Mus musculus: one gene and its partners. The protein of the gene in region 1 interacts with the protein of each later gene in a pairwise test. Links are inferred from orthologs where the notes say so. Each region holds a gene or a part of one and is shown on either strand. Other genes may lie near its edges.

Evidence for each region.
Region 2: the proteins of Pde4dip (region 1) and 9930104L06Rik interact in binary tests that used the Homo sapiens proteins (3 or more experiments, as listed by UniProt). The two-hybrid records come from large-scale screens. The link is inferred for Mus musculus from reciprocal best matches to the Homo sapiens genes PDE4DIP and AIRIM.
Region 3: the proteins of Pde4dip (region 1) and Ccdc146 interact in binary tests that used the Homo sapiens proteins (3 or more experiments, as listed by UniProt). The two-hybrid records come from large-scale screens. The link is inferred for Mus musculus from reciprocal best matches to the Homo sapiens genes PDE4DIP and CCDC146.

Annotation. Positions count from the first base shown.
Region 1 is NC_000069.6:97,697,981-97,705,775, forward strand, and holds part of Pde4dip (myomegalin), read right to left. Parts: intron 5,439-7,795; coding exon 5,187-5,438; intron 4,388-5,186; coding exon 4,256-4,387; intron 3,698-4,255; coding exon 3,578-3,697; intron 2,005-3,577; coding exon 1,815-2,004; intron 1,254-1,814; coding exon 1,129-1,253; intron 1-1,128. UniProt on the Homo sapiens protein: Functions as an anchor sequestering components of the cAMP-dependent pathway to Golgi and/or centrosomes.
Region 2 is NC_000070.6:124,934,248-124,942,142, reverse strand, and holds the start of 9930104L06Rik (uncharacterized protein C1orf109 homolog), read right to left. Parts: upstream 5,096-7,895; 5' UTR 4,810-5,095; intron 3,704-4,809; 5' UTR 3,701-3,703; coding exon 3,426-3,700; intron 1,778-3,425; coding exon 1,598-1,777; intron 1-1,597. Other genes in the region: Cdca8 (borealin), read left to right, coding at 5,461-5,554, 5,660-5,788. UniProt on the Homo sapiens protein: Part of the 55LCC heterohexameric ATPase complex which is chromatin-associated and promotes replisome proteostasis to maintain replication fork progression and genome stability.
Region 3 is NC_000071.6:21,420,391-21,428,285, reverse strand, and holds the start of Ccdc146 (coiled-coil domain-containing protein 146), read left to right. Parts: upstream 1-3,608; 5' UTR 3,609-3,721; intron 3,722-7,895. Other genes in the region: protein FAM185A, read right to left, coding at 2,710-3,118. UniProt on the Homo sapiens protein: Essential for sperm flagellum biogenesis and male fertility.

The DNA of each region.
Region 1 (7,795 bases):
TTAGCTACCTTGCTGGATTTTGGAATTCAAATGAAGAATTAGTAGTAATTGGTTTGAAATGAACTCAGGAAGGCCCATGCACTAACAGAACACAGCATGAAAAGGATACACAAACCCAGTGTGTGTGTGTGTGTGTGTGTGTGTGTGTGTGTGTGTGTGTGTGTGTGTGGTGCAGGGGAAGGGTGGTCATGATGAAGCAGCTTCATGGATGAAGGTTCTAGTGTGTTTTCTCTTCCTCTCATTCCAAGTTCTCACTAACTTTTGACTGTTTTTTGAAAAAAATATTCCCAGCATTCATTGCCCTTATCTTCCAGTTGTACCATATCTCTTATCACAATTTTAAATTTTTTTGAAATTATATCATTTCACCCTTCCCTTTCAACCATATAACCACCCCCTTCCAGCTCATGGCCTAATTGTTTCACACACACACACACACACACACACACACACACACCTGCTCAGTCCCTATAATGTCACTCCTGTGTTTTCTGGGCTGAGCATTTGATGGTGGATAACCAGGTGATGCACTCTTCCCTAGGGCCTGTGGTCCTCTGCCCAGGGCTGGGGCCTTATTTGCTATCCCCCTTCTGAATTAGCATGGCTATTGCTGTCCTTTATCTCCACAGTAGGACCTTGTCTCTTGATCTAAAAACACTGCTACATTTATCCAAAATTCTTCCCAGACTGGAGGTCTCCTAAGTCCTGACTCTAGTATGTTCCATAGACTCAGCATCTTAAAACTCTGGAGCCGTCTTCCTGGAAAGTAAACTCTGGTCTTGAATTTTAGGCTTTCTATGTGGCAGCAGCCTCCCTTCCCACTGCCCTGACTTCTTACCTCTCCTTTCTTTTGGTTTTGAGTCGGTTTCTCCACTTGGGGAAGGGAGGCGGGATAGATGCTGATGGTATGGGCTGTCATGGTCTGTCCTTCAGCACAGGTAAGGATCCTTTCAGATGGTGACAGCCCTAGGGTATTTCTTTATATAAACCATGCTATAATCTTGCTCCTGATTAAGTTGCTTTTTTTTATTAAGTGGGTGAAGTGATCTTTCAGTCTGTCCTTAAGGGTACCCAGGCTTGATCTGCTCATGTCAACCCTTGGGCTTTGGTGAGAATGGGGGCTCATACCTTTCAAGGCCTTCTTGGGATTTTCACAGAGGGACTCGTAGATCTGGAGCTCTGACTGCAGGGACAGGGAGAGCTGCTGTTTCTCTTCGCACTGTTGTTGCAGGAGGGCCAGCTTGTGCTGCAGCCTGCCAAGGAGAGGCAAGGGTTTACTGAGCCAAGTGGGAGAAATGAGCCTCGAGCCAACCTTTGCCTCAGTTGGCCTGGTAGGATGGCCTGGCCATCACATTCATTTGGCAGACTCTGGGGCAGGTAAAGTTAGTTAGCCTGAAGTTGGAACACTAGCTCTGTGTGCAGGCAGCAGTGTAAGCACACTACAAGCCCCTCTCTGCCCCACAGTGCTCTCCACATTGACAGAAAGATGCAGGGCTTCCACTGGGATAACAACTTGCAGTTTATGGCAAGAGTGATGTCATGCATCTAGTGAGAAGGGTGGGACTGCTCTCCTGCCAGTCTCTGACAGATGGAAACCTCTGTAATAGGATTTTATCACTCTACTTCATACTATAAAAACACTATTCTCTCTTTTTGTGTGTGTGTCTCAAATAGAGTCTTCCTTTTGCTCCAAGTGACCAGTGAGGCAGAAGAGTAAAGAAGGAACTGAAGTTCCCAAAGGAGGAAACTACTGATTTGTCAATATCCCTTCTGCACTGAGAAGCCGGGCCATTCCATATCAAGGCCCTGCCTACCTGGAGTTGTTTTCCTGGAGCGACAGCCTCTCCTCTCGGAACTGCACGATCTCATCCTGCTTCTCCTGCAAGTCTTCCAGGAGCTGCTGCCGCTCAGCCTTCTGCTGCTCCAGCTCCTTCTCCAGCTCCTGAAGCTGGGATCTGGAGGAGAGCAGAGCCTCCCGCAGGTGATCCACTTCCTGGGAGTGTCCTGATGAGCGGGACACAGGGGTATTTATGTCATGGCCTGAAGCCCATGAGAAAGACAAACCCAAGCACACGTGAGGCCAGGGGAAGGAAGGTCCCGTGTGGCCGAGCAGTCTGGCTTAGTGGACCCTACGTACTGGGGCTTGGGTGGCAGTGGTGTTTGTGGTATCTGACCCTCCATTTAAGAACACCTGCCCTAGCTCTTAGAGGAGACAGCGAGTTCCCGAAGCTCAGCGTTTTCTAGGTGTTCGTGGGCAGCTATTCAACTGTACACCTCCAGTCTTATCAAAGACCAGCACTGATTTCTTGTTTGTGGTTTTTAGAACATATTCTTTTTCAATTCTTTTGAAAATGTGGACAGCTGGTGTTTTCTGGCCATGTGATACCTCTCTGGTCAAAACTTCTTAAAGATGATCTGTAGGGACTCTTTATATAAGGCCAGTCCTTGGGTATAACTGTGTTCATTTGGAACTCTTACTATTTCCTATCTGTGAGGCTGCCCTCCTCTGTCCCAGCATGCACTGGTAGATTAATTTCTCTGCCTTGCCCTCATCCAGCAGTCTTAGTCATCCTCCAGCAAGGGCCCTGCCTCTCATGTCTTTCTGAACTGACTTAGTACAAAAGTACTAAGGAGTTTCCTTAGAAATAGTTCTTCTCGTCTTTTGCCTCCACAAGGATTCTTTCATTCTGGACTTAATCCTTTGATATATCGCTCTTAGTCTTTTAATGGCCATTAAGTAGATTTTTTTTGTAAATAAAAATCATTTGTTACTAGTTATACATTGATTTAATCAAGTCAACTAATACTATGTAATTTGCCTCTCAGGCCACATAGGCAATAATGCCCACTTATAGATGACCATTAAGTAGGGTTGGGAAAGTTCTAGAGAACATGGAACCATAGGAGGACCGCCGGAGAGCAGCCTGAAGAGGACTGTAGGGAAAGGCAGAGGAATGGCAGAACAGGACCCAGACAGCTGTCCAGAGCTGTACTTATTTGAGGCTGTATGAGAAAATACACACAAGCATGCTCTCTGGTTTTATGGTTCCAATCAGGTGTGAGCAGACAGAAGGGGATGGATTCCAAACTGACCGGTCAGGCACTGTTATTGAATATAGGCAGGCTTTCAAAAGGGATAACCTTCCTAGAGCCATTCTGTCTTAGAACCTAGGAGCCTGAGGGCGAGGGTTAGGATCTCTTATGGCAGTGGTTCTCAACCTTCTTAATGCTGAAACCCTTTAATACAGTTCCTCATGCTGTGGTGATCCCCAGACATAGAGTTATTTTTGTTTTTACTTCATAACTGTAATCTTGCTTCTGTCATGAATCATAAAACGTCTGTGTTTTCTAAAAGTCTTAGGCAACCCCTATGAAAGGGTCACTTGACCCTCCTCAAAGGGTCTTGAACCACAGGTTGAGAACCACTGCCTTGGGAGTAGCCCTTTGAAGACAGATTAGCAATGTAAATATTGGGCTGGTAACTAAACCTTCTCTTTGCTTTTTCCAACTGGTGATTGCCCTGGCGAGGATAGAGATAGTCCTAGGAGGACTGTAAGTCTGGGTTTACACAACCTACCTCTGGAAGCATGGCTGAGCCGTGTCTGCAGGCTTTGGTTTTCTTCCCTTAGGGCTCTGTTCTCATTGTAGAGCTGAGGCATGGACTCCAGGCCCTGACTGTAGAAGTGAGAGGTGGAACCTGTCCCGGACAACACACACGTCCCATGTTACATCCCCTCAAAGATCTGCTGTCCCAACCCAGCAGCAAGCTCCAGCCCTCAAGGCCTGGGATTAACTTGAGCATAATGGCTGGATGCTGAGCAGTGTGTGTGTGTTTTCAGACCATGCCGTCTTTGTGTGCACCCAGCACTTGTACCCATTATATCAGTGTAGGACGCGTCTCCTAACTAGCTGGGGAGGAATGAGCAGTTGCATATACAAAGAGTGACATCCAAATGACAACATCTTGTGGGATGGGGGAGGTAGGGACTAATGGCCTCCTGAGTGAAGTGGGTCGGGGGTGGGTCTTCATAGACCTGCCTCTACTGGTTATCAATCACAAGGACACAGTGCATATAAACAGGTTAAGGACGAGAGGCCAGATCTTTGTCTGAGGAAAGTCAGTCTCTGAGCTCAGAGTGCACAGCAGAAATAACGGCTCTCCATACCCTCCAACCCTCGCCTGACTGTGACAATCCAGTAAAGAGTATCGGACTGATTAGAAAAGCGTGAGGCTCTGCCTAGTGGCCTTGCCTACCGTTTTCTCGGGCAGTGGAGCTGAGCCTGTGCTGCAGCTGCTCCCGCAGCCGGTCATTGACACATATGGACTCCTCCAGGCGCTGGCGCAGGTTCCGGATCTCACCTAAATGCTCTTCCAACAGGTCAGCGCCTGCAGCCATCATCCCCGGACAGGGCAGAAGCAGGAGACACAAGGCTGGTTACTAGGGTGAGGTGAGCTCTGCCAGTGGACAACCCAGCCTGTCCCCCAATGTCGCCTTCCTTTTGCCCACAGTGTCCTTTCACACAGTCAATCAGCTCCACTTAGTGACACAGGAGCTTCATGACCATAGGGTGGCCTCTTGCTAAGGAAAGCCCACGGGCCTCCATTCTTGGCGAACGGGGGCTTCAAATCACTGAGAAAATAACCGACAGATCTAACTGAGCCCAACTGCCATCTGGAAAGGCGGATCCACCTCTCGGGTGTGGTTTTGGGGGTGAAAAGGAAGGCCTTACTGCCTTTTTTTTTTTTTTTCCAATTCCTTTTCCTGATAAGCTACTCAATAGCTTTTAGCAAAATCCATTCTTTCCCACCTAGAAAAAAGACCTAAGGTAAAAACCACATGCCTTCAACCTACCAATCGTAGCTAAGGACTGATGCTCGATGCTTTCACATGTCACTTTTAGTCAGGCAGGAAGAAGGAATCCCCTGCATGGTTCTAGGACCCCGAAGGACCCAGGAGAGGCAGCACTGCTAGGTTACAAGTGAACTGACTCACTTCTGGCTTTCTCTTGGAAATTCAGTTTCTTGCTGTTGGGACCGGGCTGCATTGTGCTTTTTGCCATAGTTATGCTCTTCTATCTGCTGTGACTGGATTTTGTGCATAGAGCATGTATGAGGGGTAGAGACTGTTGTATCCTTTCTATGTATTTCCTGACCGAGGAGAGAAGGTCCCAGCTCTGTGCCTTACCAGTGGGCTTGGAGTTAAGCTGGTACATCGAGGAGCCTGAGGACAGCTCCCCAGAGACGCTCCCTTTCTGGGGCCTCATCATGTCCCACTGGCCGCTGCTTCCCAGGTATCCAGGCTCCAGGATTCGTCCCAGCTCTATGGTGCTCCTTGTCGGAGTGTGGGGCTGGGCAGGGTTGATGTAGTGGGGAGAGCTAGCTTCAGTCTGGTTGCTGAGCAGCGTGGATGTGGAGGCGGGAGGGGCAATGCTAACACCTGGGCAGATAGAAACACAGTGAGAGAGGGTATCAGTAGCCAAGAGCGGTAAGGGAATCGAGATGGCTGAGAATGGAGACTAGCAGTGGACACGGGGTCGGGGAGGGGGCAGGGGGAGGTTAGTACCCCAGTTCATCACAGAATATCGGTTAGATGAAGACTCAAAGCCTCAAGCCTGACTTTCACCCTCTGCATTTCTGAGCAGGAGACACCCAGAGGAGGGTCTGAAAAGCCCAGGGGCTCCATTCCTCGTTCCTACTGTTATTCCTCATGATCGAATCCAGGAAAGTTCCGGAAGTAGGAGACATCCCATAGTTAGGGATTAAGAATGTGATGGGCTATCTGACTGGGCACACCCACAGGTGGTAGCATCTGTTTGCTTGTGCTTGCCTTTGCCCAACGCTAACCAGTTGGTTTTTCCGTGCCTCCTTCAGGGAGACAGGGGATAGGACTTTTCCAGATTGAAGAACTCTTTGTTCACGTTGGAAAACCTCCTGTATAAGAAAAGTTGTGATCTGGATCCCCTCCACGGCCATCAAACCTTAAAGCAATGGCTCTCAACCTGTGGACTGCAACCCGTTTGGGGATGAATAACCCTTTCACAGGGGTTGCATATCAGACATTTGCATTATGATTCATAACAGTAGCAAAATTACAGTTATGGAGTAGCAAGAAAATAATTTTATGGTTGGGGGTCACATATGTATTAGAAAGGATAAAGACCATTGACTTAACGAACCATCAAGCTCATCCTAAGGAGGGCAGCGGGACCTCCTCTTCCCTAGGATGACGCTTTCAAAGACCCTATGAAAATGAGGCCTCTCGTTGAGCACTGTAAGAAGAGGCAGGAGTTCAGGTGATGTCCTTTATAGCCTGTTTCTGATCTATCTAGGCAGTGTCTGAAAGGAGGGCCCCTATGCAGGGTTTAGATTACTAGTTCTGTTTTTTAAAGCCAAGAACAGGGAAGGAATGTTTGGGGCGGGGGTGGGGGGGTGGGGGGGTGGGGGGAAGGGCTGTGTGTGTGTGCAGAGGGATGCACAGGGCCATAGTTCAGTGTGGAAGGCTGATTTCTTCCAATGATTATCAACACAGGCAAAGTAGACAGGCAGCTCCCTCTAAGCAAACAGGATTGAGGCCATTCATCATTTCCTCCAAGCATATCAGACTCTGGGCAAAGATTGGTACAACTACAACTGCTACTGACAGATTTTCATCCTCAATTAGAACTAGTTCTCACATCTGCTAGAATCGCCTAAGGTAATCACACACACACACACACACACACACACACACACACACACACACACATACATCTGGGCTACCACAGATAGGTGTAAGATGCATTTTGAGCACTGGACATTTAGGAAAGTCATCTCAGGAGATTTTAACAAGCTGTAACTTTGAGAAGTATTGTGGTTGGCCTTTCCTTCTCCCGTTATTCTAGTCACTCATTAGGCTTAAAGCAGAGGAGACTAAGGATTTCAGCATTTATACTTTTTAGTGGGGACTTAACAAAGATAAGATTTCCTATTCCTTTCATACCTGATGCTACCGTAGCCCTAAACAAGGCAAGGACCAAGAGAGGCTTTAAGTCCATTGGTACCAGTGATTGGTATCTTTGTGATCCAGTTTCCTCCGGTTACACATACAGAACTTCTGCCTTATAGCATGCAAAGCCATCATGTCAGGAGCTCTTAGCCCCACACACACCTGGGAAGCTTCCATGTGCCAGTGTCTACATGGAAAAGTGATTCACAATAGACAGTGAGCACTGGGTGATGGTCCCTCAGAGAGAACCATGCCTACAGATGGGAAAGGAAGGGCTACAGTATTCTTTACAAAGGCTGGGCTCATCTGAACCAACATCAAGGGCCTGAGACTGTAACTCCAACCCACGATGCACAGGGTTTTCCTTCCATTTTTTCCTTTCCACAAAGATCTGTTGACAGTCATAAAAAGGTACAGAAAAGTGGGATGGAGAGAAGGAAATAGAAGCCAAAAAATGTATATACCATCTCAACACAAGACAGATTTGTTGGTGCCAGAATTCTAACAGAACAGTCTTAGGTCGTCATAAGTCCTAGACCATCAGCTGGTCTCTAAAGAGAAAGAGAACTCAGCTCTAAAGAATAGCCAGAGTGTTTCCACTGGGCTCTGCCCATAGCCTAAGCATCGGGGCATCTAAACTACCCTAGTGCAAAGGTATGGGGGAAATCACACAGCAGATGCAGAAGACAGGCTCCAAAGCCATCTCTCATCTCTCCCACTAGGCCATTACCTTGAGTCTTTGCTGCCTCCTCTAACTCCATGCACTACATAGGACTCGTGGGAGGCTCAGGCAAGACTATAGTAGTGTT
Region 2 (7,895 bases), on another chromosome or scaffold:
ACACCTAGTACCACTATTGCAGTTATAATAGGAAACAGAGGGACAGGAGGAAGATCGTCCCTACATATCTAGATTGGGTGACAATCTCCTTTGTCAACTTGTCTGGATTTAGAATCGTCATGGAAACATGATACAGGTTGCATCTGTGATGTTGTCTCTAGAAAGGTTTAACTGAAGTGGGAGGACTCCTCTGAATGTGGACGGTGTCAGTCCACAGGCCGGGGTCCCAGAATGAACAGAAAGTGAACAGAGCGCCAGCAGTCAGCAGTCCCTGCGTCCTGATGCAGGCGCAATGTGACCAGTGGCTTAAGCTCCTGTCTCTGTGCGCTTCCCTCCGTGACGGACATATCCCTCAGCTATGACCTGAAATAAATCTGTCTGTCCTGCTTCGTGTTCGATATTAATCACAACATGAAAATCAGTAACACAGTGGGCATTGCTGGTCCATGTTCAGCTTTAAACTTGAATTTGGAGTTCACTAAGCGAGCCAGCTGGAGGCAGCACAGGAAACTGAGACTCAAGACCAGGAGCAAAACCAGGGTCAGATGACAGCCATGGGCACGAATGGAGAAAAGGTCAGGACTGCGGCTAATTTCCTGCTCTCAGGCTTGCTTCCCGCCATGCCAACTGTTCTTCAGAACACAGCACTGTTAAGCACAGGCCTTGACCACATGGTTCTGCTTAAAGCTTCTGAGAACTTTGACTTCAGAGTAACAGCCAAAACCTTCAAGATCCTTCTCAAAAATCAAGGCCCTCTGTCACTCTCCTCCTGCCCGGCCCTGCCCTGCCCTTGCCCCCACTGGCTTTATGGCAGTTCTTACATGTACCAGACAAGCTCACGCCATGTAGCCTCTGCCTGGACCACTCTTCTTCCAAACACCCACATGGCTCATTCCTTCCCTCTTGCAAACTTGGCTCAAATGCTGTGAGCATCATTGTCTCAGGATGTCACTGCCTCATGGGTCCCTGCACTGACCACACTATTAAAATCACATTCCCCCTCACCTTCTCTGCCTTATTTAACACTCACCACATCTGACACTATGCAGTCCCCCTTTTTATGCCTGCTCCCAGCACTTAAGAGTAGTGCCTAGCAGATAAATAAACTCTAAGGAATGACTAGTTAACAAAAGACAAGTGCAAGAAGAATCCAAGTCTGAGCACTAGAGAACTGCAACGAATTATACAGCCTGCTGACCCCGTGAATTATACAGCCTGCTGACCCCGTGAATTATACAGCCTGCTGACCCCGTGAATTATACAGCCTGCTGACCCCGTGAATTATACAGCCTGCTGACCCCGTGAATTATACAGCCTGCTGACCCCGTGAATTATACAGCCTGCTGACCCCGTGAATTATACAGCCTGCTGACCCCGTGAATTATACAGCCTGCTGACCCCGTGAATTATACAGCCTGCTGACCCCGTGAATTATACAGCCTGCTGACCCCGTGAATTATACAGCCTGCTGACCCTGTGAATTATACAGCCTGCTGACCCTGTGAATTATACAGCCTGCTGACCCTGTGAAGTCTGCACCTGCTGCAGCCTCTAGGGGCGGCTCTGGGCAGTCAGTCAGGAAGCACTCGAAGGATATGAGCTTCCATAATGTCTGTCGATGTCCTGCAGCCACTCCAACATGTCAGCCACAGAGGGGCTCACAACTGAGGGGCGCAGGACGGTGTCAATGTCTAGCACAGCCGCATGCTGCTCGTAGGCCTGAAACACCTGCTCCACGTGGCTGTTGATGGTGTTACGGACCTTGAGGAGGGTGGCTCTGTGGGAAAAGGAGGGTGTTAGGCAGTATCCTAAAAAAAGATAGGGGGTAAGCCTTCTCAAACCACTACTGTCCTGTTAAGTTTTGTTTCAGAGGGGACTCAAACCCTTAGACGTGTTAGGGAAGCGGTCTACCACTGAGCTATACCCTTGTTAATTTAGTATGAGGGAAGGGCATGCACATGACAGAGTATGCTTGGAGATCAGAGGGCTACTTTGTGGCATCCACTCTGTCCTTCCACCTTTCCATGGGCCCGTGGATTGAACCCAGGTCATCAGGCTTACACGGCAAGTGCCTCTACCCCAGGAGCCATCTTAACTGCCCTTGTCTGGCCAGTTCTTCAATGGCAATGTGGGCTCGACATGCACAGACTGCTTGAGAATGTGAGTTATTTCCCCTGTGCATAAAGGCTTCATTGCTCACTGTGTTTCCCAAGAACAGCAAACACACAATCAGTGAATGAATTGTCACTGGAAAGATAAATACTATGATGTGTGTAAAGTGCCTTTGGCAGTGGCTACATAGTATTCGAATGCTGACTCTAAGGAACCCATCACTAAAACAAAGGCTGCAACTTCCCAATGGACAAGGGATCCTCTAGCCCAGAACGCTAGCTCTAAATATCCTACTGTGGCTTATGGTGTAAAAACAGGAAACAATCCAAAATCCTCAAGTGTGTAAGACCTGCTTATAGTCGATGACTAACATCAAGAACAAGCAGAAGCCGGGTGTGGTGGCGCACACCTTTAATCCCAGCACTCAGGAGGCAGAGGCAGGCGGATTTCTGAGTTCGAGGCCAGCCTGGTCTACAAAGTGAGTTCCAGGACAGCCAGGACTATACAGAGAAACCCTGTCTCCAAAAAAACCAAAAAAAAAAAAAAAAAAAAAAAAAAAAGCAGAAAACAGAGTATCTGTGTAACACCTGTGTTGTTACTGTTTCTTGGGCTACTTAGTTACACATGTATCCACTTGTGTGTAGAACCAGGTGGTGGTAAGAAGCCCCAGCTTAAGTGGCAGGCCCACTTCAGATTCCTGGCTCTATTTCTCACGGACTCTGTGATCAGGACAATCAGTTTGAGTTTCCCTTTTCTTGCTTCCAAGTGCATAGACAGGTATAAGGCAGAGGTGTACAAGGTCCCGGACACACAGTCCTTACTCCCAGCTCTCCCTGAACTGCAGTACACCAAGGACAACGACAGAAGAGGGCTGCACTCCTCGCCACCCTCTTCTTTTCTGCTTTTGTAATTTCTTCCATTTATTTAGTTGGTTTGGGGTTATTTTTATTTATTTGTTTGTTTACTTACTTATTTATTTTGAGACTGGGTTTATCTGTGTAGCCCTGGTTGCCTTGGAACTCTCTATGTAGACCAGACTGGCCTTGAACTCAGAGATCTGCTTGTATATGCCTCCTTAGTGCTGAGATTAAACACCTGGCCTGATTTGGGTTGTTTTGTTTTGTTTTAAAGACATGCATGGTCTTACAATGTAGTCCAGGCTGGCCTCGAACTCACAGACATTCAACTTAGCTCCAGCATGATTACTCCTGACTTGCTTTTGTCGATTTCTGTAGGACCCCCTGACTGAGGCTGGGATGCCATGCGGCATTAAGATCTGTCCATCAACAAAGGGGGACAACAGAGCCTCTTACAGCCGCTCAGCTAGCTTGTCCAGAACAACGTCACCAGCCTCCAGCTGCTTGCGCCTCAACCGCTCCTGTAAGTCTGGAAAGGGACGCAGGGCTGGCACATCCTCAAAGCGCAGACTCTGTGCGGCTTGCAGCTGCTCAGCCAGGTTACTGAGAGAGGACAGGAGGGGCGAGCAGTCCTGCAGGGTGCTCTGCCACAGGTTCTGCTGTTCCTCCACCACAGGGAAGCACTTCCTCAGGGCCTCCTGCACAACCAGCAGAGGCTGGTCATGAGCCATTTTCTGGGAAAAAATAAACAAAACAAAAGGGAGTCAGGGTACCAGAAGGGAGGGCCTGCATCAAGGCTGCGTCATTTCCGACCTCAGGAGAAGACCAGCTGTTGGTCTTCAAATAGTCCCAAGGCAATAATGAAAGGTAGGGAGACTTTGGGGGACACAAACAAGAACTCCTAGTCCTGGAAGTGGGCTGACACCTTCAGCCAACAATGAAGGAAGAATTCCTGCAAGTACACTTACCAACTGTGAACAGCCTTTCTTCCTTCCTGCTGTAAATCTTCCATGTTCTAGAAATCTCACCAGGAATCCCATTTACAGAGAAAGGACACACACTACCCCATTTACATCTGTAGGATTTAATACCATCAAAGAATCTTGAAAGCCACCTCACTTACTTCTCTTATCAAACAACTTCTTGTTTGAAGGGAGTCACAAGGGTTTTTAGAAACCCTTTTGAGATGTAAACTGAAAGCCACCAAAATAAGTAATTGTGGCTAATGTAACATGACTTTAATTCCAGCCCTCTGGAAGCAGAGCCGGGTTTTGGGTTTGAGGCCAGCCTGGTCTCAAGAAACTGGGGGAAAAGAAAGAAAATCAACTGCTGATCTCCCTAGAGAATCTCATACCCACGTGGCTATGTCTAACTTTCTGAGATTCTCTGAGGAGCATGCAAGTGTCTTTTATGCCTAGGTGCCTGCCTCTCTCTCTTAATTCTTGTGCTTATGCCTGTATTTAAAACAGCCATAGGCTGGGAGTTGTCGAATGCATCTTTAATCCTAGCACTGGAAAGACAGAAACAAGCAGATCTCTGTGAGTTCGAGGCCAAACTAGTATACACAGAGACTTCCAAGATAGCCAGCGTTATATGGTGAGGCCCCGTAGCAAATATGTTCATGTAACTCTGCTTCATAAATCAGCTAGTGCTGAGTTCTTTTCAGCGTCAGGGCCATCAACTGAGCTCAGCTAGTGCTGAGTTCTTTTCAGCGTCAGGGCCATCAACTGAGCTCAAGTCCTTAAAAGGCTAGGGCAACTCCCCACGCTGCAGAGTGGAGCTGTGTCTCTGTCTTGTAACCGCGGACACTCAAGAATATTGATTCTGGCGGTCCTCTTACCTTCTCTCTGCAGGAAGACCGTTGCTTCGGGTCTTCCGAAGGGGTTTCTTCACGACAGGGCAATCTGCTTTAGACTGCGAGTCTCTGGGGTCTGTCTGTTCCGGGACCTGTGCTTCTGGAGTCAGTCTTGTCGCCTCTCTTTAAGATTTCCAGCCCTAAATCAACAGGAAAACGTAAATCCTGCGATGTCAACGCTGAGTACATCAAAAACTACACCGCGCTTATTCACAAGAACGAACTCACCACTCTACTTCCAGTTAGCACGACTCTGGAGTCGCGAAAAGATGGCGTGTGCCGCAATGACATCTGGGCATTGAAGTCCTCCATGAGGATTGGCTGGCGGAAGGAGAAGAAGCTTTATTGTGATTGGGCGTGGTGAGAACCGTCCTAAGACGGCGATTTGCTATTGGCTAGGCTGTGCCCGTTGAGTTTGAATTGGGTGGCGGTTAACCGAGGAGCCGCCCGTCCCTTAGTTGGAGCTGTGAGGGTTCCTCAGACTGTGTTTTGGGACCTGCAGGTAGGTTTCGGCAGAGTTCTGGAAACCTAGACTCCAACGACTGAACTTTCTCAGCTCTCCGACCGCTCACACCCTCTCCCCGTCTCAGTCGCGGAGCCGGCTGCTTGGCCCCTCGCTCGACGCAGCCAGGCGCCATGGCTCCCAAGAAACGCAGCAGCCGCGGAACCAGGACCAACACGCTGCGGAGCCGGAAGCTCGCCTCCTTCCTGAAGGACTTCGACCGCGAGGGTAAGGGGTGGATTCGCGTGATCGTGGGTTTTGGGTGGGTTGGGACGCGGATGCGACGGCTTCGCACACCTGACGCGGGATCCGTCCGCTTTCACCTCTTTGCAGTGCAAGTTCGAACCAAGCAAATTGAGTCCGACAGACAGACCCTCCTCAAGGAGGTGGAAAATCTGTACAACATCGAGATCCTTCGGCTCCCCAAGGCGCTGCAAGGGATGAAGTGGCTTGACTACTTCGGTAAGAGCTGCTAGCGTTTTCCCCGTGACCAACGAGTGCTTATCTTGAAAGCTTATTGTAGGGACTCATTCAGATGTCCCCTTCTTAATAAGGTCTAAAATAACCACCGGTAGGAAATTGCCATCTGTCATAACTTATAAAAGAATGGTGGGCCCATAGGAAAGAAGTAGGCATGAATTACCCTTCAGATGAGCGCTATTAGGACAGTGCATCTCACCTTCACGTTTGAATGGGAGAGCTTTAGAAGAGATATACCAGAAATAGAATGATGGAGGCCTGAAGGAAGAGGGGCGAGGCCGAGATCTCAAATCTATAGTACAAAGTGAGCTGATAATTGAAGGTTTTTCAGGGGTTGGGGGAGGCTGTTCCGCACTGACATGACCTAACCTATGCTAGCCTACCTGCCAATAGGCAGGGATGCAGTCGCTCAGTAGGACAGTAAGAGTTGTCCTGCAGCTTAACAGCGGAGGGAGAGGACTGTAAGAGCAGGACGCATCATGTCTTCTCAGCATCTCTGTATCCAGGGGGAGTGTTTTGGGAGAACACATCCATCTTTTGGGGAGACCCTACTGCTCAGCCCCACTGGAAACTGCCTGCCATCCAGCCAGGCCAGTGGTAGGCAAACCACTGTCCTTAGCAGGCCAGGTAACAAACAGTCTTGAGTTCTGGAACTGCATTTCTGTTACAGTTCCAAAAGAGCCGTGATGAGTTTGATTTCTGGGCAAACTGAAATGTCAATTTCACATAATTTTCACACATCCGGGAAATACTTGTACAAACTCAGCCTTCTAAAATGAATGAATAAATTAAGAGAAAAATTATTTGTTTTTTGTCAGAGCTCATTTCGGACAGTATCCTCAAACAGCTCTGTCTTGTGAACTACAAAGATAGGAGTAGGCCGGGCAGTGGTGGCGCACGCCTTTAGTCCCAGCACTTGGGAGGCAGGGCAGGTGGATTTCTAAGTTCGAGGCCAGCCTGGTGTACAGAGTGAGTTCAGGGACAGCCAGGGCTATACAGAGAAACCCTGTCTCGAAGAACCAAAATAAAAAACAAAAACAAAAGACAAATCACAAATCATCACGGCCAAATAAATTAACGCAAGCGTTTTCATTAGTGTATGCAGGCTGCCTCCCCCTACGGCTGGGTTTGAGAGATCGGCATTGGATGTGAGGAAGTCAAGTCTCTTACAGCTCAGTGGTTGGGTGGGGGGGGGGTGCGTCTTCAAATGGGGGATTTAGCAAGCAAAATGGGCGGGGTTACAGAAGCAGAACATAAGCAGAACAAGTTAGTCTCCTTCTGAAACAAAGCCAGGTGAACATAACAAGATAATCATAGCCGAGCAGTGGTGGTGCACGCCTTTAATCTTGGCACTTGGGAGGCAGAGGCAGGTGGATCTCTGAGTTCGAGGCCAGCTTGGTCTACAAAGTGAGTTCCGGGACAGCCAGGGCTACACAGAGAAACCCTGTCTTGAGGAGAAAAAAAAAAAGATAAGAGTGGTTTTCTGACCAGAGAAAAATGTCAGCCCATTTCCCGCCATTTGTGAAACCCCTGAGGAAGCATGGAGGCTCCTTTCTCTCCAGCTGCTTCCTCTGCCTTCCTCATCACTATATCTACCAGTGTGCCTCCTCCTTCCTAGGTACAAGTGCATGTTTTGCTAACAAAATTCTTCTGTCATGCCTTATTAATCTTTCTGTTCATTCATTTCTACAAAGTTAAGTGTCACTCACTAGGCTAGGCACTAAAGATGCACCTAGGAAAAGCAGACATTGTCCCACCACAGGGGTAGTGGAGAAGGACCGCTTAAAAATTCATACAGAATTTAGAAATAAAGTACGACAAACAAGATGGGAGTAGCAGCCAGTAAGTATGAACTGAATAAGCATTAATAGGATGAGCCAGTTTTGTTTTTGAGACAGGCTCTCTTTGCAGCCCTAATAACCCCAGCTATTCTGGAACTCTTATATAAATCAAGGTGGCCTTGAACACACTTGTGATCCACCTGCCTCTATCTCCAAAGTTCTCAGATTAAAGGCATGTGCCACCACGCTGGCAAATAGGCCAGTTTTAGGAGGATAACACTGGGGCCCAGAGAGATACATTACTCAGG
Region 3 (7,895 bases), on another chromosome or scaffold:
AGAGACCGCCCCACCCTGGGGATCCATCCCATATACAACCACCAAACCCAGACACTATTGCATATGCCAGCAAGATTTTGCTGACAGGAGCCTGATATAGCTCTTTTTTGTGAGGCTATGCCAGTGCCTGGCAAATACAGAAGTGGATGCTCACAGTCATCTATGGGATGGAGCACAGGGCCCCTAATGAAGGAGCTAGAGAAAGTACCCAAGGAGCTAAATGGGGTCTGCAACCCTATAGGAGGAACAACAATATGAACTAACCAGTACCCCCCAGAGCTGTGTCTCTAGTTGCATATGTAGCAGAGGATGGCCTAGTTGGCCATCAATGGGTGGAGAGGCCCTTGGTCTTGCAAAGATCATATGCCCCAGTACAGGGGAATGCCAGGGCCAGGAAGCGGGAGTGGGTGGGTTGAGGAGCAGGGCAGGGGGGGAGGTTATAGGGGGCTTTGGGGATAGCATTTGAAATTTAAATGAAGAAAATATCTAATAAAAAAAAAGAAGAAAAAACAAAACAAAAAAACCCCGAGTGATAAGGAGAATTAAAGCCACAATATTGTGGATAAATAAGAGTGTATTTAAAGAAAATTTGGAAAATAGGGATTGACCAGGTGGCCTTCTCAGCTGTAATTTAAAGTGTCACTTTAGATATCTCCTTATAAAAACAAAATAATTGCTGGGCACTACAGTGCACGCCTTTTATCTCAACATTTAGGAGGCAGAGGCAGATGGATCTCTGAGTATAAAGTCAGCTTAGTCTACACTGAGTTCCAGGATAGCTAGAGCTCTGTAAAGGGATTCTGTCTCCAAAAAAAAAAAAAAAAAAAAAAAAAACCAGCAATAACAAAATATTAAAGAGTGACTACGACTATGCAATTGCATTAATATTAAATTTCCCTTAAGCTGGAGTACAGAAACAAAAACTACTGTCATGTGACCTTGGTTGATCAAACACTGACCAAAGTCATTTGGTGAAGGAAAGGGTTTATCTCCTAACTTACGGTCCATCACGCAGTGAAGTCAGGACAAACTCAGGGCAGAAACTGAAGAGGAGATCACAGAGAAATACCGCCTTGCTCTCCAGGAGTCTCTCAGCTTGCTTTTTTTTTTTTAATATAACCCAGGGTCAACCCGTGTGGTTGGGCCCTCCCATATCAACCATTAGTCAAGAAATGCTTCTTGATTAATGCAGACTTGCCTACAGGCCAATCTGACAAAGGCATTTTCTCAATTGAGGCTCCTCTCCCAGGTGATTCTAGGTGTGTCGCGCTCACTACAAACTAACCAGCACAATTATGTTCCCCAAAGCGCGTTGTTGGGACCCACTGCCACAACTTTAATCATTACAGTATAAGTGCCCTCCACTGCTTGGCACTGGGTTAAATCAGCAACATGCACTGAGAGGAACTGAGAGTGCATGAAAGCCATGCACTGACACAAGCAGAACTGCCTGCCCACCTGAGCCTTGTCATATGGCAGGAAACAAGGCAGAGCTGACAACTATACAGGTAAGCGAAGGGATGCTAAACACACTCTGTTGCTGGGAAGGAGGGCGGGGAATTAAGGTTAACACAGGAGTAGTAATGGGACATCCACTGGGACACTCTATCACAAGCTGGAGGAACAACTATCAATAAAATCAGCGATGTAGATTTGAGGGGCCTATGGAATCGAGGCAGTACCCTGAAAATAAGCCCCTGGCTTTAAAAAGAAGCAGTGAGGTAATTTGGGATCGCTGGGAGAGGTAATACCCATCTCAGAGAGGCTGTTTTAAGTTTTGCCTCTCTCTCCTTTGACTCCCATTTTATTCTGCACTGTGGTAAAGCCCCACCGGCACTTCAGAGTATTAAAATTTGGAGGCACTGTCTCTTATTCATTTAGGCTAGTTAGAAGTTGAGAAGCAACGAAGCCTAACAGCTCACATCCTAGCCCTGCCTACTTGTATTTAAGGTGGAAAGACACCTAAGGAAGCAAATTTCATAATGTCACCACGCACGGGGCCTTTGTTTGTTCAGTCACAGTATGTATCTTATACTTCCTTTACTTCAATGTCCTCATCTGAAACGGTGACAAAAGCATCCACCCTACCGAGCAACTGTGAGGGTTAATATAAAATAATTTTAGAAGAGGTAAACGGTGCTATTGCTATCATCAGCAACACCATCCTTCAGTTCCAGGAAGAATGAGAGCCCCAGAACCCTTTCTAGAAAAGTATGTGTGCTCAGCGGTTTGCATCTGGGAAATAAAATAACGGGACTCAGATGCCTAAGAAATACGTTTTGCAGGTACTATTATGAATTTCCCCAGACAGTCTTAACTATGTGTCTTGCTTCAAAGTTTGTATTCGCAGAGAATTTACTTATGCCTAAATGAATAGACATCTACCAACCTGGGTACCTGTTGGAAAGCAAGGTTTTTTGTTCGTTTGTTTTTGTTTTTGTTTTTCTAGATTAGCTGGAAGCATCTATACATAGAGCTGACGAGGGACCAGAGCCCCGAGATGTGGGCTACCAAACCACTGGATAGTTATCAAGAAACCTCAACCCTGAACGATGCTAATGACTGTGATGCTAATGGCTCCACAATGTAATTAGACTCAGATTATTCCAATACAAGCTTCCACTCGGCTTTAATTTTCCTCCTTAATTGGAAACCCAACGCTTAAACACTATTAGTTTTGTGACCCAAACCCTTTTTCACTTCACTTGCCAAATTTGACGGGCGCGTTCACCTCCACCGACGCCTGGGGGTCGATGTCGTCCGACAGAATGGCCATCTCCTGCCGATCAGCATCATACTTGACCTGCAGGCTGTCCAGGCCGCGCGCCACGTGCTCCACGCCGCACACCGCCACCTGCACGCGGTCGCCATCCGGGTGCGCAAGGGGATCCAGGGGCCTCACGGCCAGGTGGCAAGGGAGCCGCGCCCTCAGTCGCCCAAACGGGCTCACCTGCAGCGTCCACTCCCTCAGAGCCCCACGCGCCAGGCCGGCCCCAGAGTCATCGGGCGCTGATCCCTGCCGCTGCGCCCCACTGGAGCCGCAAGTCCGAGCCCCGAGAGCTCCGACCAAGGCGCCCGCCCGCACTCGGGACGCGCAAGGAGGGAGGCGGCCGAACATGCTCTCCCTTGGAACGCTTCAGCCTTGGCTCGCTGGTCCCGGGACCACAAGAACCACGAGCTGCCTCGGGTCAGTCACGAAGGGGACAGCATGCACGGCTCCGCCAAGGAAGAACGAGCCAGGCCCCCAGCACAGTACTTAACGCCTTAAATCCCGGTAGGAAAGTTAAAACTTCAAAGAGCCTAGTTGAAACCCTGACCTGGACAAGTCACCTATTTCCGCCCCTTTGGCGGAGGCCATCGGGATATGTAGTTTTAAAGGAGCCAAACATCAAGGTGTTCTGGTAACTGTGAAACTACATATCCCAGGAGACAGTGCGCTGAATACACAGACTGACAGCCGATTGGTAGAGGAGCCCCCGCTCCCCCCTCGTTGCTTTCCCGTTGCTTCAAGCCCATTGGCCAAGAGAGCAGAGAAAGAAAAAAAGTTAATGTAACTGACCAATAGGAAGAGTAGAAGGGACGGGATAAACTCAGCTGTGGTTACTTTGGATACCAAGGACGCGACTCTTAGGAGAGGGTGAAGTTTTGAAGTGAGACCCCAGGGACCAAAACACACGGAGAAAAATAAGAGTTTAAACAAGGATCAGGACCAAAAGAAAGGGTAAGAAACAGCATGTTTATAGATGGGAATCAGATTCAAAGTTAGGAATACTTTCTTTAGGTAGTTAGAACCAAAGGTCACCAAACTAATGTGGATTCCCTGGGAATAGAGAATCCCCCTCACAAGAGACCTTAGCATGAGAGGACAGACACGTTCTGTTGCTTTCTCCCTTCTCTGTCCTTTAAGGGAACTCCCACTTAGGTAAAAAATACTAGATAGAAAAAGTGTTAGAAGCCAGGTATGGTGGCGCACGCCTTTAGTCCCAGCACTCAGGAGACAGAGGCAGGTGGATTTCTGAGTTCGAGGCCAGCCTGGTCTACAGAGTGAGTTCCAGGACAGCCTGGGCTATACAGAGAAACCCTGTCTCGAAAAAGAAAAAAGAAAAAAAAGGAAAAGAAAAAGTGTTAGAATTCTGGCTCTTTCTTAACTGTAAGTAGTAATCTTAGGCCAGTCATTGGATGCCTTTGGGTTTTACTATTTGCTTATAAAATGATGACACTATCTTCCTTGTCTTGTGTAGAAGTTTTTTTTTTCGTTTTTACCACATTTATCAAATGAAACAATGGACAACAAAGCAGTGCACAGTATACAAAACAAAGTATTTTAGGAATGGCATATGTCTACGTTGCTAAGAGATTTGGAGACATTTGAACTTGGTTAGAGGACAGTCTTGATCTCTTTCCCTGCAACTGGTCCTTGGCCTTAATGGTAAAATAAAATCTCTCTCTCTCTCTCTCTCTCTCTCTCTCTCTCTCTCTCTCTCTCTGGATCATAAGACTTGTTAGGGGATGTCAGAATTTTTTCCTGGTCCTGTTGTATTATCTATGGCACAAGAAATGTTTCTTCAGTTTTGATATAAGACAGACTGTGCTAAATAACTCTATAAGTTAACTCTTTTTTTTATTATTCAGTAGGCAGTAAAGATAATGGGAAATGGGGGGTGTGGACATTATTTCAGCCATATTTGCCTATTCTTCTCCCCATTCTACAAATAATTCCCTAAATTCCTTACATACAGATTTAACTAATTGCAAGTCCAGTGTGATGGTGTTCACTTGTAAGTTTTCAGAGTTTGGGAAGCTGAAGCAGAAAGATCTCAAATCTGAGGCCCACCTGGACTATATACGGAGAACGTTGTGACAAATAAAATACACAATAAGTAAATAAAATGATACCTTTAAAGATCAAAACTCTCAGCCAAATATGGGACCCCAATTCTTTGAACCTGAAGTGACAGATGGATAGATAGACTAGGCTAAAGTCCTCCCCAGCGTCCATGTTGTTCTCTTAGTGAAGACTATGGTAGTGGTGGTGGCAGTGACAGCCCTGCCCTGCTGTCAGCCATCTGAGAAGAAGGCCCCTATCCTTGAGGACCTCCACCAAGGTGAAACCTGTCCTTGACTTTGCTGGAAAAAAAATGTTGGGAGAAGCTAATGTGAAAGAGGGTTGATTTAAAATAGATTTTAAACAAGGGTTTAAGAGCACAGGGGTTGCTAGAGGTGACTGATCACACAGGGAGAGAAAGAGACACACCCAAGAGCACAGGTGTAAGCTCCCTTGAGCTTGCCCTAAGTGACTTAGCAGAAGTGCTCCAGAGTCACTCTTTTGCTGACTCTCATGTTATGCCTCAAAGGATTTCTCTAAGAAACTTCTTTAAAACCTTTCTCTTCTTCTTCTTTTTCAATAAGTGAGATTATAGGATTACTCTAGAGATGTCTTGGATTGGGTTACAGTCCTAAAATAAAACTGTGTGTCACAAGAATTGTAAAAGGGAATTAAAACATGTCCTTTACTAGAAGTAGGGTTTTGGGTAAGATTTCTAGAAAACTGTTGGTTTATAGCTGAGAAAGAAGAAAGAACACATATATTTAGGCCTTACATGTGATCCATTGCTCCTTCAACAATGTAACTTGAAAGTATCACTATGTAAGAGACTGGTGATCCTCATCGATAATGTTGACAGCTGTGTTAGAACTCTTCATCTTCAGCTGGTGAGACACACTGGTCAGGCTCTGGAATGAGGGCTCCTTTTATTCCCAGTTCTCCATCATGTTCCCGTGTTTCTCTCCTGCCTCAGTAGGCTATAAGATAGACTTTATGATAAGCAAGTGCTCACTCAGTGAGTAGCGCCATTGGCTTTGTGTCCCATGTGGACGTACGTACTCAGACGAGCCTTCAAGTTATCTTTTTTAAATGAAAACCCAAGAGTCATACTTTGACATTTGAAAGAGGCACAAGCAAGTTGAAACTGCGCTCTGATTTGCTGTGGACGTGCTGCATATATTTGGGCCGAATATGCATCCTTAATAAATCATCCTGTTCCTATAGTCACTTTTCCTTTTCTGAGGAAAAATAACTTAATAGAACTGACAACTGAGCCATCATGATATCTGTGACACGGTCATTATTTCATTACTTTCAAGCAAAGGAACTAAAACGTACTGAAAGACTACCTTCCTGCTTTTATGAGGGTGGAACCCGAGAATCTGGTAGAGATTAAGAGTGACGTAAGATATTAGTTACCAATGCCTAACAAGCTAGTCAGTATCAAACTTGTCTACCTGTAAAAGTGAGTGATATAGTTTTCAAAGTATGTTCCCGTGTACCATCTCACGGTTTTCTCACAAAAAGCTATTAAGAAGGATAGTTATTCTTCTCCCTGCATGACAGCTGAAGAAACAAGATTCAGAAAAACAAGATGAAGCCATTATGACCCCCAAAACTGTGGTTCTGGGGGGATGAGAGCATTAAATTACAAATGTACAAGATTTTTTTGTTTTGTAGGACTACTTATTAATAAATTATTTCTCTGCTGGTGAGATGAGCCAATTCAACCCAGATTAGATTATATTAAATTCCGGTTTATTGCTCTTGGGTGGGCAAGTTCATTGACCCCAAGGAAGGGGGAGAGAGGGAAAGAAAGAGCACACACACACACACACACCACACACACACACACACACACACACACACACAAACACACACACACACACACACACACACACACACAGAGAGAGAGAGAGAGAGAGAGAGAGAGAGAGAGAGGAAAATGTCTGGATTATATAGGGAAGAGCCCCTGGGGGAAGGGCAGCCCAGCCCCTGGGCTGCAAACTTCAGGGGTGGAGGCAGGATATGCCAGGAAGGGACTGAGGGATGTTGGGAGAACCTGGAGGCCACATCTGCTTTGATATGTTAAAATATGCACCTCACTCCCTTGTCTTGGAGTCTGAAGCCAAACACTTAAAAGAGTTTGAAATAATTTAAAAATCTAAGTGCCCCTAAATGAGAGAGTAATGCTTAAATAAATTTTATATTTGTAATATTATAAAGAAATCTAAAAATAATATCCTGAAATAATCCATAATATAATATTGGGTAATAGAGTACTTAGTAACCTTTGTGTATTAGTTCAATCTCAATTCTGTAACGGCAATAATATATTTAATATAGAATTACATCACAGAAACAATTCCAGAAGGATGCACACCACCTTATAATGATGGCTATCTATCTCTAAGCCACGAGGTTAGATGATTACATCATTTGCATGTTATCAGTAGTGATCATGTTTGGCATTTTTAATGAAGAGAAACAGTAAGGCCTTCTTAGTGTGTACTGTTGCCTAAGGCTGTCTTAGAAATGTAGGGAATTTCTTAGCATCCAAACATAAATGCAGTTGTGTAGAGAATCTCCTACCAAATCAATGTGAAAGGTGGTGACTTTGTTATTACTTTATGTTCAATTCATGGACAGCAGAGGGCAGAAGAGTTTTCAGAAGAAAAGGTAATCAGACCAAGGATTAAGTAGCTCAGTTAAAGGGATGAAGGCCACCAAACTGTGCTCGATTCTGAATTACAGATAATGTTTAAAACAAACAAAAAAACTTCTGCAGTTTCTGTTATTCTTATAAGACAATAATACACTCAGAAACCTAAGAGCTATCACTTCTGAGAATATATAATGAATACGCAGGTGGACCCACTTGGAATCACCTTGTGAAACTGCCAGGCTAACCATACCTGTGAATTGTGAATCAGCTGAGCTCGCTGGCCAATTTAAAACTTCAGGGGAAGCGTTTGGCATCTCACAGTCAACCGTGATGTTGGCTGCACAATTTTCCAATGCCCCTTTGAAGATATTTAACTCCTGGTTTACTTTTTATTTGAGTGATATT